4 linked regions of the Saccharomyces cerevisiae S288C genome follow. Changing the gene in region 2 together with the main gene of any one other region gives a genetic interaction. Each region holds a gene or a part of one and is shown on either strand. Other genes may lie near its edges.

Region 1 (3,268 bases), on a different chromosome or scaffold from region 2:
GAACAAGCACAACAGCAGCAAGAAGAGGAAGATGCTGAACCGGAGAGTGATATTCCATCAACGTATAATAGTGACGGAAGTATGGAAAAGTATGAATACACTAACAACCACAATAATAGTACCTTTTTAACTTCCTCAATGGACAGTACACCTTACCAATCTGATATCGATGACGTTAGTGCTTCCAAAGATTGCAAATTCCAACAAGATACATTAAGAAATAGGCTATTATGCTTACAAATGAATTTTTCTACTTTAACAGACGGTCCAAACGAGAAATGGTTACCAGATTATTGAGCAGGTCTCACCTTTATACTCACTGTATTATCTTATGTTCTAATTCGGTAATAGCTTCACCTTTTCTTTTTATCTTTGAGGTTTGTTTTTTTTCTAGTATCCTACTAGGATGGCTATAAGCAATGGCTGGAACGATTTTCATACTTTTTTTACGAACTTACGACTTTTCAGTGTCTTCTTTGATCAAAAGGAGATCACTATGGATATATATGTCCTACATAACTAATTACAATAATGATAGAATGACAGAACTTAGTCACTTTTTTTGTTTCTCAGCCCGGCGACGGCGCATTTGAATGGGTGGAAATCTTCGCTGATACCAGGTTGACAGTCTTATGATACGATTTTTTCGTCCTTTGCTTCCCCCGCAATAACCTTGCCTTTCCTCTATTTGCCGCGTTAGTAAAAGACCTTTCACAGCATCTGTAAAGTTCCTTTAATCGCATTGCAAAATACCAGGGCCTAAATGGAACTTCCTCAAACTGTCTTTCCAACCTTTCTAAGGGGTACATAAACTTTTGATATTGGATTTCCATCGATTCCCAAGGACTTCTCTTTATTGGACATTGCTTGCCTGTGACTTTTATAGGCGGCTTATAATATAGCACAAGGTCGGGCAAGTAACAAAATACAGCACTTCCTCCATTCTTATCAGGGTAGTAAGAGACTGAATCCCGAATCTCTTTTTCATTAATAACAATTTTGTTTTCTTCGATTTTCATGTTCTTGGTGGAAGAAAAAGTTTCCAACCAAGAATTGAGTTTATGTAATAATGATTCTGGGACAGGTGGCAATAAGGTAACACCCTCTCTTTTTTTCAATTCCATTTTATGATTTGCCGTTTCAGTTCTAGAAGTTTTCAAAGCAGAGTTTCGTTTGAATATTTTACCAATGGATTTTGAAAATCGTTTACCAGCACTAAATTCATGCTTGGATCCCGAATGTTGGAACAGGTGCTTAACACTCACAATTTCGGGATATTTATTAGGACCATCATTAGTACATGCCATTTCCTCTTTCCTCGCCACCAGATTTTAAGGCAGTTGATGTTTGCTTCCAAGGGAGAAAAGGAACTTATAACGGTTAAAATTAATAGAGCCTGAAGAGAATGAAGGCAGCCAAGACATTGATTAACATCCTACAATTGTAGAGCAGTCAAACGAGTTAATACCACAAATGTCAGTAATTAGTGGAACTTGTGCAAGTATCACCCGGCCAGCTTGCCAAGGCGGAAAAGTAAGTCAAAAGGCACACCTCAGCGTTTGAGTACCTGAAAAACGATGAATCGCAAATAAAACTTTAAATTATGCCTGTTATACATAAAGCCATTTATATATTTATGTATTTTATGAAAAAGATCATGAGAAAATCGCAGAACGTAATCATATCTTTTCAATGACAATAGAGGAAGCACCACCACCACCATTACAAATGGCGGCAACACCGATCTTACCTCCTTCTTGCTGTAAGATGGATAGCAGTGTAACAACCACTCTAGCACCAGAACAACCCAATGGGTGACCTAGAGCAACAGCACCACCATATACATTAACCTTAGATGGGTCTAGCTTCAAAATCTTAGTGTTCACCAAACCGACAACCGAAAAGGCTTCATTGAATTCAAAGTAATCAACAGAATTGATGTCTTCGATGCCAGCATGTTTCAAAGCCTTTGGAACTGCAAGAGATGGAGCCCATGTAAAATCAGCTGGTTGATGAGCGGCCTCACCCCAACCTTTGATAATAGCCAAAGGCTTCAAATTCTTTTCCTTCAAAACTTTTTCGGAAACCAAGATGACGGCTGCAGCACCATCGTTGATTGGAGAAGCGTTAGCGGCAGTAACAGTACCGTTTTCTTTTTGGAAAACAGTCCTTGCAGATCTCAATTTTTCAACGTGTAATCTAGCAGGTTCCTCGTCCTTCGTGACTTGAGTATCAGGCTTACCTCTAAATCCCTTAATGGTAACAGGTACAATTTCATTGTCGAATTTACCTTCCTTTTGAGATTTTTGAGATTTTTGGTAGGATTCGATGGCAAAATTGTCTTGTTGTTCTCTAGTAATATCCCAATCACGGGCACACTTTTCTGCGTGTACACCCATGGCTAGACCATCGTACGCATCGTTCAACCCATCTCTTTCGACACCATCAACAAGAACAGTTTGGCCAAATTTGGCACCCGCACGGGCTGCTGGCATGTAGTATGGTGCGTTAGTCATAGATTCACAACCACCAGCTACGACAACATCAGCATTACCACATTTGATGGATTGAGCACCCAAAATGATTGCCTTCATAGCGGATGCACAGACCTTGTTAACTGTGCTTGCAACGATATGATTACTCAAACCGGCAGCCAAAGCAACTTGTCTGGCCGGAGCTTGGCCCAAATTGGCAGAAAGAACGTTACCAAAAATAATTTCGTCAAAATCCTTGGATGCATCCAATTCTGGAACCTTAGCCAAGGCGCCTTTTAAAGCAACAGCACCCAATTCCACTGCTGTCTTGGAGGATAGAGAACCCTGGAATGAACCAATTGGGGTTCTGGCAGTCGATACAATGTAAACGTTCTGAGACATTTTGAGTACGTCTAATCTGTATAAATATATATGATATGGCGCTTGTTTTAGGCTACCTTTTTTCAGAGAACTAGAAAACGAGTAGGCTTAGCAGTGCTCTTAATGGAAGCGCTTGTTCCTCTTTTATATATTTTACTGCCCTTTGCTCAACGGTGGCCTATCAACCTGGCCACGAACGTGTGGTGGGCTAGTAGTACCGTACTCTCCAGCGAAAAAACCGGCTTGGGCGGTAAACGACAGGCACCTCGTTATAAGTGACGTGCCTGTTAGGAAACGATAAACCCGGCAGGGCACAACAATGGCATCATACCAGAAATGTATCATGTTAAGGCTTTCAAGCAGTGTAGCTGTTTCTATTTACAGGATATATCGTAGATTATGTACGCAATCTT
Region 2 (3,920 bases):
TAACTCGCCTGAGTGTTACGTGAGATTACATATAGGATCGAACTATCACGAAATCAATTACGCTGTGTTATTGAATCATAAAATCACAGAGCTTCCCGAGAAAACGCTAAATTATGTGTCAAGTACTGCGGACATCTCTTAACGCTATCTTATATTCATTTCACTTTTTATATCTAGTCCTTTTCTTTTCTTTATTAAATAAAACTACCACCTTGTATGATTCTTAGCAAGACATTTCAGCATTAATACCAGCACAGGTTTCTTCTCCCTTGTTTTCATCCGAAGAGAAAGGATAGTGCTTCTTATGCCTCATTAATAATTTGGAATTCACATTTATATACACGCTAAATATCATAATGAACGAGGGTCATGTAGAAAAACACATTTACCCATAATGGTGAAACAAATTATCAACAGTGCTTTTACGCTATCATCATTTACATATAAAAAATTTATCTAACAAAAATCATGTGAAAAATCATGTGTTATTTCGTTAAAGTACGCGCTAAAAAAAAGCCGGCACTAATTTTATTTGACGAGGTAGATTCTACCTTCCCATGGTTTCAAAACTCTGGAGGAAACGTCAGTATCATCATAATTTCCAAGAATAAAAGATAAAGAAGCACCTTCTCTTGGGAGGCTGAATTCAATTTCTTCGCCACTGAAATTTAAAGCAGCAAACAGCGTCTTGTCTTCGTACTCTTTAGTGAAGCTAAAGATCTGGTCACTGTCTAAATCAATGAATTGGAAATCGTAACCATAAATCATAAGTTCCTTATATTTCTTTCTGGCTTGCAAGGCCCTTTTCCAAAAATTGAGAACTGAGTCATCATCTCTGGATTCCTGCTCAACATTGATTCCTTGCTCGAAAGATTCATTCAAGAGAAACCAAGGTTTAACATCTGGGCCAGTAAATCCAGCATTGGGCTTATCTTTCGTCCATGGCATGGGAGTTCTCGAATGATCTCTAGAAAGTAGGGCGATTCCTTTAAAAAAATCCTTCATTTCCTTCGAGTTTTTACCAAAACTTTTTTTGATAATCTCGTAGTTGTTTTTCACATCAACGTCCTCATACTTTTCAATAGGCCATTCCTTGAAATTGATCTGGCCTATCTCCTGACCTTGATAGACATACAACGTACCTGTCAATGAACATTCTAGCAATGTTAACAGCTTACCAGATATTTTACGGTACTTTGGCGAATCGTCAGCAAATCTCGTAATTGACCGGGCTTGATCGTGATTCTCGATGTAGGTGGTAGCCCAACTATCAGTACCGTTAATGAACAAAAAGTTCGATGCAATGGCTTCTTTCCATTGTTTCAAGGTGAAGGGCACTATGTTATAACGGAAAAATGGCGAGGTACCAACTTCAACGTGCGTGAAGGAGAAAACTTCGCTGACTTCGTATCTAGCTGCACTGGTGTATAAAGCATTATCACTTCCATGGGCAACTTCACCGACTGTCATTATTTCTCTACCATCTTTCACCCTGTTTTTCATAAATCTGTGTAGTTCTTGATGATATTCATGAATCCTAGGACCATTGTGAGACCCCCAATTTGGATGTTGTAATTTCGAGGTTTTGTCAAAAATTGGGGAATCTGGTAAACCAGGACGTTTCGAATACAAACCAGCGGTATCGATTCTAAAACCATCTACACCATGGTCCAGCCAAAATCCAACAGCACTTTCAAAGATTGCCCTTCTGCAGTCTTCATTCTCCCAATTCAAGTCAACTTGACGACTCGCAAACAAACGGAGGTAAAATTCATTTGTAGTTTCATCAAAAGTCCAAGCTGAACCACCAAAGAAAGATTTCCAATTGTTTGGAGGAATTGGCTTGCCTTCGGCGTCATAACCCTTAGGAGGTCTCCAGAAGAACCAGTCACGCTTCGGATTGGTCTTCGAGGATCTGCTCTCTTTGAACCATTCGTGTTCTGTAGAACAGTGGTTGATAACCAAATCGGTGATGAATTTCATACCCAGCTTATGAGTCTTGTCAATTAGCTCAAAACAGTCCTCATTGGTACCATATGTGGGCCAGACCTTTTCGTAGTTGGATATATCATACCCCATATCTTGTTGAGGAGAGTCATAAAACGGACAAACCCAAATAGCATCAACGCCAAGATCTTTAATATACTGCAACTTGGAAGTGATACCTTTTAAATCACCCCAGCCATCGTTATTGGAGTCTTTAAAACTTGCTGGGTAAATTTGATAGATTGTGGCCTCTTTCCACCACTTTGGTTCTGTTTCTGGATGATCAGAAATAGTCATTTATGTAATTTAGTTACGCTTGACTGATGTACATTTGAGATTATCAAAAAAACTGCTTAAGAGATGGATGATTTAATTTTTTAGAGACGTATTAATGGAACTTTTTATACCTTGCCCAGAGCGCCTCAAGAAAATGATGCTGCAAGAAGAATTGAGGAAGGAACTATTCATCTTACGTTGTTTGTATCATCCCACGATCCAAATCATGTTACCTACGTTAGGTACGCTAGGAACTAAAAAAAGAAAAGAAAAGTATGCGTTATCACTCTTCGAGCCAATTCTTAATTGTGTGGGGTCCGCGAAAATTTCCGGATAAATCCTGTAAACTTTAACTTAAACCCCGTGTTTAGCGAAATTTTCAACGAAGCGCGCAATAAGGAGAAATATTATCTAAAAGCGAGAGTTTAAGCGAGTTGCAAGAATCTCTACGGTACAGATGCAACTTACTATAGCCAAGGTCTATTCGTATTACTATGGCAGCGAAAGGAGCTTTAAGGTTTTAATTACCCCATAGCCATAGATTCTACTCGGTCTATCTATCATGTAACACTCCGTTGATGCGTACTAGAAAATGACAACGTACCGGGCTTGAGGGACATACAGAGACAATTACAGTAATCAAGAGTGTACCCAACTTTAACGAACTCAGTAAAAAATAAGGAATGTCGACATCTTAATTTTTTATATAAAGCGGTTTGGTATTGATTGTTTGAAGAATTTTCGGGTTGGTGTTTCTTTCTGATGCTACATAGAAGAACATCAAACAACTAAAAAAATAGTATAATATGAAAAATATCATTTCATTGGTAAGCAAGAAGAAGGCTGCCTCAAAAAATGAGGATAAAAACATTTCTGAGTCTTCAAGAGATATTGTAAACCAACAGGAGGTTTTCAATACTGAAGATTTTGAAGAAGGGAAAAAGGATAGTGCCTTTGAGCTAGACCACTTAGAGTTCACCACCAATTCAGCCCAGTTAGGAGATTCTGACGAAGATAACGAGAATGTGATTAATGAGATGAACGCTACTGATGATGCAAATGAAGCTAACAGCGAGGAAAAAAGCATGACTTTGAAGCAGGCGTTGCTAAAATATCCAAAAGCAGCCCTGTGGTCCATATTAGTGTCTACTACCCTGGTTATGGAAGGTTATGATACCGCACTACTGAGCGCACTGTATGCCCTGCCAGTTTTTCAGAGAAAATTCGGTACTTTGAACGGGGAGGGTTCTTACGAAATTACTTCCCAATGGCAGATTGGTTTAAACATGTGTGTCCTTTGTGGTGAGATGATTGGTTTGCAAATCACGACTTATATGGTTGAATTTATGGGGAATCGTTATACGATGATTACAGCACTTGGTTTGTTAACTGCTTATATCTTTATCCTCTACTACTGTAAAAGTTTAGCTATGATTGCTGTGGGACAAATTCTCTCAGCTATACCATGGGGTTGTTTCCAAAGTTTGGCTGTTACTTATGCTTCGGAAGTTTGCCCTTTAGCATTAAGATATTACATGACCAGTTACTCCAACATTTGTTGGTTATTTGGTCAAATCTTCGCCTCTGGTATTATGAAAAACTCACAAGAGAATTTAGGGAACTCCGACTTGGGCTATAAATTGCCATTTGCTTTACAA
Region 3 (2,679 bases), on a different chromosome or scaffold from region 2:
TAGCAAACATCTTATGCAATCTCTTTTTCCCATTTTCATTCCATAGGGATAGTTTGGCATTGACATAGTTAGAATAATAAAAACTGTCGTACAATGAAGAATGCCTCAGTAAGAAAAGGTAGTAATCCGGTTGGATGTTTAACGTCAATGTATCAGGGGTCTTTACTGAGTTTCTACTGCTTGGTGTGAGACGCTTCACTTCATCTTGCAATAAGGGGTATAATCGATTGTAAACTTGAGCATATGCTATATCTAACGAGGTCGTACCAAGTATATTCAACCACAGGTTTGAAAGATTTGTTTCTCCGATAGCAGACAATAATGAATAGATTTGTGCAGATATCGAGTTAACCACTGTTGTGCCTTGAGAATAGTATTCCTCCAAAACACCTTCATATTCATGGATTTGCTTCTTTCGTTGCTTTCTTTTTGAGAGATCATTCGGTCCTATTGAAGAATTACCTCTTTTATTAGATATTGTCTCATCTTCGTCTTCTTCGTCCTCGTCTGTGACTTCATCGGCATCAGTTGCCTCATCGTCACCCCCATTATTATCGTTCTCGTCACCTGAGAGCTCATCGTCACCACTCTCCTCGTCCAGTTCAAGCAATTTATAGTATGCTTCTTTTTGTTCGCCTAATGTGTCATCCACCGTACCGTCGTCAAAACATTGGATGATTTGTGATCCAAATATATTGTCGAGATTCCACGGTCTATGAGCATCCAACACGTAGATGTCTCTCCTGAAACTTTGTTCCCCCGACTTTTCATCTGTATCGATAACATACTCTTGGGGATCGATTTCTAAGAAAGCCTCCAGATCAATAACGCCTCCAAACCCTACTAATAGCAGACTATTTATATTGTCATCCAATTGAGAATAGTGGCGTCGTAATTCAGAGTACCCAAATATCGGTACTATTTGAGATTGTACCAATTGTTTTTTGAATAATAGTGACAACATCTTCGTCGCACACAGCGCATCGATGTTAAGACAAGAAACGAAAATGACCAATTGACATGATGAATGAGACGATGAATTCCTTAAGATTTTGTTGTAGGCTTCGCTAAACTGGCTGATTCCATAATACATGTGCGAGAGTATATTCTTGTTATTATGTGCCTTCTCTCTAGTGTTTATTGCTACACTTTTATTGCTCTATAGTGCGTTGTATAAAGTAGCCACAATGGATTGTTGGCATTACTACAGCTTCATTATTTACTGAAATTTCTTAAAACGCGTTAGATGATATGTTGAAAAAAAAATACGCGTCGTGAATGAAACTTATTAGGTTTTACGACTAGTTAAAGCAAGAGAGAGAAGATCGAATTGACTAAATGTCTTCACTTTGAATTTATTCTAGTAGGATTCGCATGGCTTTTTCATAATAAAAATCTCGTTTATTTATGCTTTTGGTTGGTTTTCCTTTGATAAATGCGGCCCTTGCTTTGTTTGTGGTTGCAACGAGTTCGTCAAATGATAAATTGACGCTTAACACAGACGCATGGGAACCACGTAATTGAATTAATGTTTTCTTCTCGAAACAATTGCAATGTGACTTTCTTGTTAGGCAATGTGAGATGAAAGATGGCCTTTACCTTTGCAGATGTTTGGGTGTGGCTCTGAGCTGTCCTTTATAATTATAGAGATAATTTTGATGAAAGCTCAGAAGACCTTTAATGACGAAAAATAGGCATGGTTTGCCAGGCAAAAAACGACCAAATTTTACTGTAGTATGAGTCAAAGTCGCTGGAGTATCGTTCTCATCTTTGCATTGTTTATTTTTGGCAGCACTGGAGTGAATGCCTTCTTCAATTTCGGTCATCATCAGCAACAGCAACAGCAACAGCAACAATCATATGAAGATCAAGTTTTAAATAACCCTTGTGATGGGTATTTGTGTCCGGACACCCTAACGTGCGTTGCACAGCAGAAAGACTGTCCTTGTCCCTTCCCTAAATCTCAGTTGAAATGTGTCCTTCCTGATAATAAATTTGTTTGCATATCCAAACCAGCCACACACAATGAAAAGTTTAGAGCAATATATGATGACCCTGTCAAGGGCCCCAAAGCAAAGAACAAGGGGTTTAGGGATTGTGGATGGGTATCAGATGCTTACAAAAACCATTGAAATCTGTATAAAAAATACATACACATACATATATACATACGAAGGATTTATCTTCTCATTGATATTCTAGTCTCTATTTCTTCCGGGAACCCATCTCTTATACAATACTTCACCAACTTGAAAACTATTGAACAATTTAGTAAAGTTGTTTGATTTCCATAGTGCTATCGCCTCCTGTTCCGAGATTAGTCTCTCCACGTAGCATAACACAAACGTCTTCTTTGCGCCGCCCACAACACGGGCTATGCTAGAATACCACGTATAATCTTTAGAGACGTCGTGGTCAAGACCCATAACACAAAATTCAGCGTGTTGAAATGGTGGCCCTCTCTTATATAATAAATAATCGCAGCCGAATTTTATACCAGATCTTACGCACCAACCGTGTGATCTGTAGTGATGGTATATAACGTATGATCTGACAAAGGAGTGAATATCTTTATATTTGGCATCGAATTGAAACAGTTTCCCTGCCAGGCACGCGGGAGATATGTCAAGAACAGGAAGTGCAAAAGTTAAAAACATAGCTTCCACTGGCATTAGTTCT
Region 4 (3,587 bases), on a different chromosome or scaffold from region 2:
ATTACGAGGCAACTGTGAGATAGTTGACTTGAACAGGAATGGTGGATGAGCGTTAAGTATTTATCGATGTTGTATTTTATTGAGCACAGTTCTTACCGGTGATCTCTCGTTGTTGTAAACATTCGATATCATATGCATCATAAAAGTTTACATTTAGTCTTTATTTGCATCAACGCAAACCAGGGAAGTACAATAAAATAAGCATTCTATGAACTCGGAGAGCTGACGAAAAAATTTTATATTTTATATGTTGCGGATGAATTATTAATGCCATTATATAAAAATAGGTTATCAATAGGAACGTAATGGTGTGTGATAAGCTTTATAGCCTCTTGAACCACTGCACCTCCAAAAAAGGCCATTACGGAATAGTTATCGTCGACTCGTAAACCAATAAACTCATCTTTATCCTCTGCAGTTACTGCCGGTTGCTCCCAGAATTGGACCATAACTAATGCATCTAAAAGGGCATTCGAGGTGCTAAAAATACCTAACAAGTCACTTTTTGGCGGCAATATTTTCCTGACCTCCCCGTAATGAGAACAAAATGTCTCCAAGACATCCTGTGAAACTATTTTTTTACTGCGAGCCAAACTTTCCTCCACACGAGACTTGTCAAGCTTTGCTTTTACTTCATACAGTTTCTTGAGTCTGATATAATTTTCCGTTGTTGACTCCATATCTGGGAGAGTGCCCGTTAAAGGTTGAAAGCTGAGCTCCCCATTCTCTTTAGCAATATTTTTCAAAGTCAATAATAGTGTGAGAATCTCGTAGTTATAAGTATCATGCCAATCGTTCCCATAATCTGATATTTCCAAATTTCGGAGCAGATCTTCCAGTTCTTTACAACAATCATTTTGAGAGCAGGCCAAGTAAGCATAGCGTTTAGCTTCCACATAATTGGGTTCGTAGATAACATCATTCCCTAAAGGAAGGCAAATTTGGTCTAAAACTTTCTTCATCTGATCAATCGTTATCCTCCCATTATTACCATCCCTTTCAAGTTTTGCAATACACTTCATGAGCAAAACAGTATATGGAATACCAGAAAACGTGGCTGTATCCATTTTACTTAGGTCAAATGTATCTACGTAATTTATTAGTTCAGGCCAAGGGTTCTGTAACCGTAAATCATACTTCTTACTATCTGGGTGTGCTTGCAAAACAAAATGTGTTTCTGAGAGTACCAGATATATATATCCATAAAATCCAGAGACGAAAGTGTTTAGAACAGGCGGAAACTTTGTTCCTCTCTGCCGCCTAATCTCATTTAAATCGAGCATCGCAGTTTGCTCACCAATACAAGTCAAGATCACCACCGAGAAGCGGGTCCAATCATACTGAGGTTGCTGTAACGTCTTTCTAAGGTCATTTTCCTCATATTCTAGCTGTTTAGAAGCCAATGGCTCAAGATCTTTTTTAAGCTCTGCTAAAAACAGAGAACCCGATTGAACTGCACACTCTACTTTGAGCCAAGTAAGAGATGATATTCCGGCAAGCACCAGATTCTTAAAAACTTCCTGCAGCAAAGGTGTAGCAGGTCCTACCACGCACACACGGGACCGGTTCAAACTATCTTGGCCCAATGCTCCCCATAGTCTCAGCTGTCTATCATATCTTTCCATATTTTCATCTACGGCTGTCTAGTTGGCCTAAGAAAGAAAGAGAGGCGACTCATTTTTTTGACGTCAATCGTCTGACTTGTCCTTCTATTTCATTGCTAGGCTAGAAAGCTTAGCTCTTACAACCCCGCTCGTTGCAGCCGAGTGAAAAGGGGATTGCGAAAGGCGTTAGAGGGGATAAAAAGGGGCCCTTTAAAAAAAAGACGGAAAAACCGGGAAGATGCAACGGCTAAATCGCAATATATAAACAGGTGAGATAGAAAAGAAAAAAATCAGTTAACCTCTTTCCTCAATTCCAATGCTTGACCGTAAATTCTCTTTATTTGGTATACGAAAGATTAAACTTTCAAAGCTCCAACACAAGAATGCACAGAACTTACTCTTTAAGAAATCAAAGAGCTCCAACGGCTGCTGAGCTACAAGCTCCTCCACCACCACCATCCTCAACGAAGTCCAAGTTCTTCGGAAAGGCCTCTATTGCGTCTAGTTTTAGAAAAAATGCGGCTGGTAACTTTGGGCCAGAGTTGGCTCGTAAATTATCTCAATTGGTTAAGACTGAAAAAGGTGTCCTTAGAGCTATGGAAGTTGTTGCCAGCGAACGCCGTGAAGCTGCAAAGCAACTGTCTCTATGGGGTGCTGACAATGATGATGATGTTTCCGACGTAACCGACAAATTAGGCGTCTTAATATATGAGTTGGGTGAACTACAGGACCAGTTCATCGATAAATATGATCAATACAGAGTCACATTAAAATCAATTAGGAACATTGAAGCCTCTGTTCAACCTTCGAGAGATCGTAAGGAAAAGATCACAGATGAAATTGCCCATTTGAAATATAAAGATCCTCAATCAACAAAAATCCCAGTTTTAGAGCAAGAACTAGTTCGTGCCGAAGCTGAATCTTTGGTTGCGGAGGCTCAATTATCGAATATCACACGTGAAAAATTAAAGGCTGCTTATAGTTATATGTTTGATTCATTAAGAGAGCTTTCTGAAAAATTTGCCCTGATTGCTGGATACGGAAAGGCCTTATTGGAGCTGCTAGATGACTCTCCTGTCACTCCAGGTGAAGCTAGACCAGCGTACGATGGCTATGAAGCTTCTCGCCAAATTATTATGGATGCTGAATCGGCCTTGGAATCTTGGACCCTAGACATGGCTGCAGTCAAACCAACTCTTTCATTTCATCAGACCGTTGATGACGTCTATGAAGACGAAGATGGTGAAGAAGAAGAAGAACCTGAAATCCAAAATGGAGATATCCCCGGTCAAGTAGTCGAAGAAGAGGAAGTTGAATGGACTACTGAAGTTCCTGTAGATGATGAAGCCCATGAGGCCGATCATCATGTTAGTCAAAACGGTCATACCTCCGGTTCTGAAAACATCTGAGTTTTTTCTAATAATTAATATATTCGAACCTTTCTATATTGTGCTTGTTTTTCACCAGCTCGTGTCTACCTATTATTAATTTCATCTGAATTTGGTTCAAGTATTGTTCGGCCAATATTCCGGTATTGTAATCACCTTTATAATTAATTGAACAAATTTTATAAGACCTAATAATTAACCTTTCTCTTGTTCTCCTTTGCCGTAAGAGATTCAACTTTTCGAAGTCTAATTAAATGAATATGATCTATGAAGTATATATGTACAATAAAAATGCCTATATTAATAAAATTCCTGTCCAAATGCCAGGGCACTTATGCCTCCCTCATCAAACCTCCCCAACTATTCTCCTCTTTACTAGCTCTTTTTTGAAAGCTACATCATTGTCTTTGATATACGCCATTCTTTTTTCCAAAGCAGCCTTTGTGGCTATTGCTTTAACCCGATTTCGATATTCTCTTTTTTTCTGGGAAATGTTTGAGGGTAGGTTTGTGGGCTTCTGATGATCTTGTGCTGTATTGGTGCAGCGTAAAGTAGTGGGGATACAACCCAAAAAACGTAGTATTTTTTTTTGTGA

What was found.
Region 1: mutations in MAL12 (region 2) and SMA1 together harm fitness more than expected from each alone (negative genetic interaction), as found in Saccharomyces cerevisiae (one large-scale study listed by BioGRID).
Region 3: mutations in MAL12 (region 2) and LCL2 together harm fitness less than expected from each alone (positive genetic interaction), as found in Saccharomyces cerevisiae (one large-scale study listed by BioGRID).
Region 4: mutations in MAL12 (region 2) and LSP1 together harm fitness more than expected from each alone (negative genetic interaction), as found in Saccharomyces cerevisiae (one large-scale study listed by BioGRID).

The regions. Positions count from the first base shown.
Region 1 is NC_001148.4:497,704-500,971, reverse strand, and holds SMA1 (Sma1p), read right to left. Parts: upstream 1,308-3,268; coding exon 570-1,307; downstream 1-569. Other genes in the region: putative serine/threonine protein kinase SKS1, read left to right, coding at 1-297; ERG10 (acetyl-CoA C-acetyltransferase), read right to left, coding at 1,680-2,876; ATP-dependent RNA helicase SUV3, read right to left, coding at 3,253-3,268. UniProt on the Saccharomyces cerevisiae protein: Involved in spore and ascus formation. Required for the efficient assembly of the precursors of the prospore membrane to a continuous prospore membrane.
Region 2 is NC_001139.9:1,074,962-1,078,881, reverse strand, and holds MAL12 (alpha-glucosidase MAL12), read right to left. Parts: upstream 2,284-3,920; coding exon 529-2,283; downstream 1-528. Other genes in the region: MAL11 (alpha-glucoside permease), read left to right, coding at 3,069-3,920.
Region 3 is NC_001144.5:344,849-347,527, forward strand, and holds LCL2 (Lcl2p), read left to right. Parts: upstream 1-1,736; coding exon 1,737-2,132; downstream 2,133-2,679. Other genes in the region: DNA replication initiation factor CDC45, read right to left, coding at 1-1,093; tRNA splicing endonuclease subunit SEN2, read right to left, coding at 2,199-2,679. UniProt on the Saccharomyces cerevisiae protein: Probable component of the endoplasmic reticulum-associated degradation (ERAD) pathway that acts upstream of HRD3 and USA1.
Region 4 is NC_001148.4:550,058-553,644, reverse strand, and holds LSP1 (lipid-binding protein LSP1), read left to right. Parts: upstream 1-1,987; coding exon 1,988-3,013; downstream 3,014-3,587. Other genes in the region: ESCRT-II subunit protein SNF8, read left to right, coding at 1-18; ULA1 (Ula1p), read right to left, coding at 237-1,625; AEP3 (Aep3p), read right to left, coding at 3,339-3,587. UniProt on the Saccharomyces cerevisiae protein: Together with PIL1, main component of eisosomes, structures at the cell periphery underneath the plasma membrane that mark the site of endocytosis.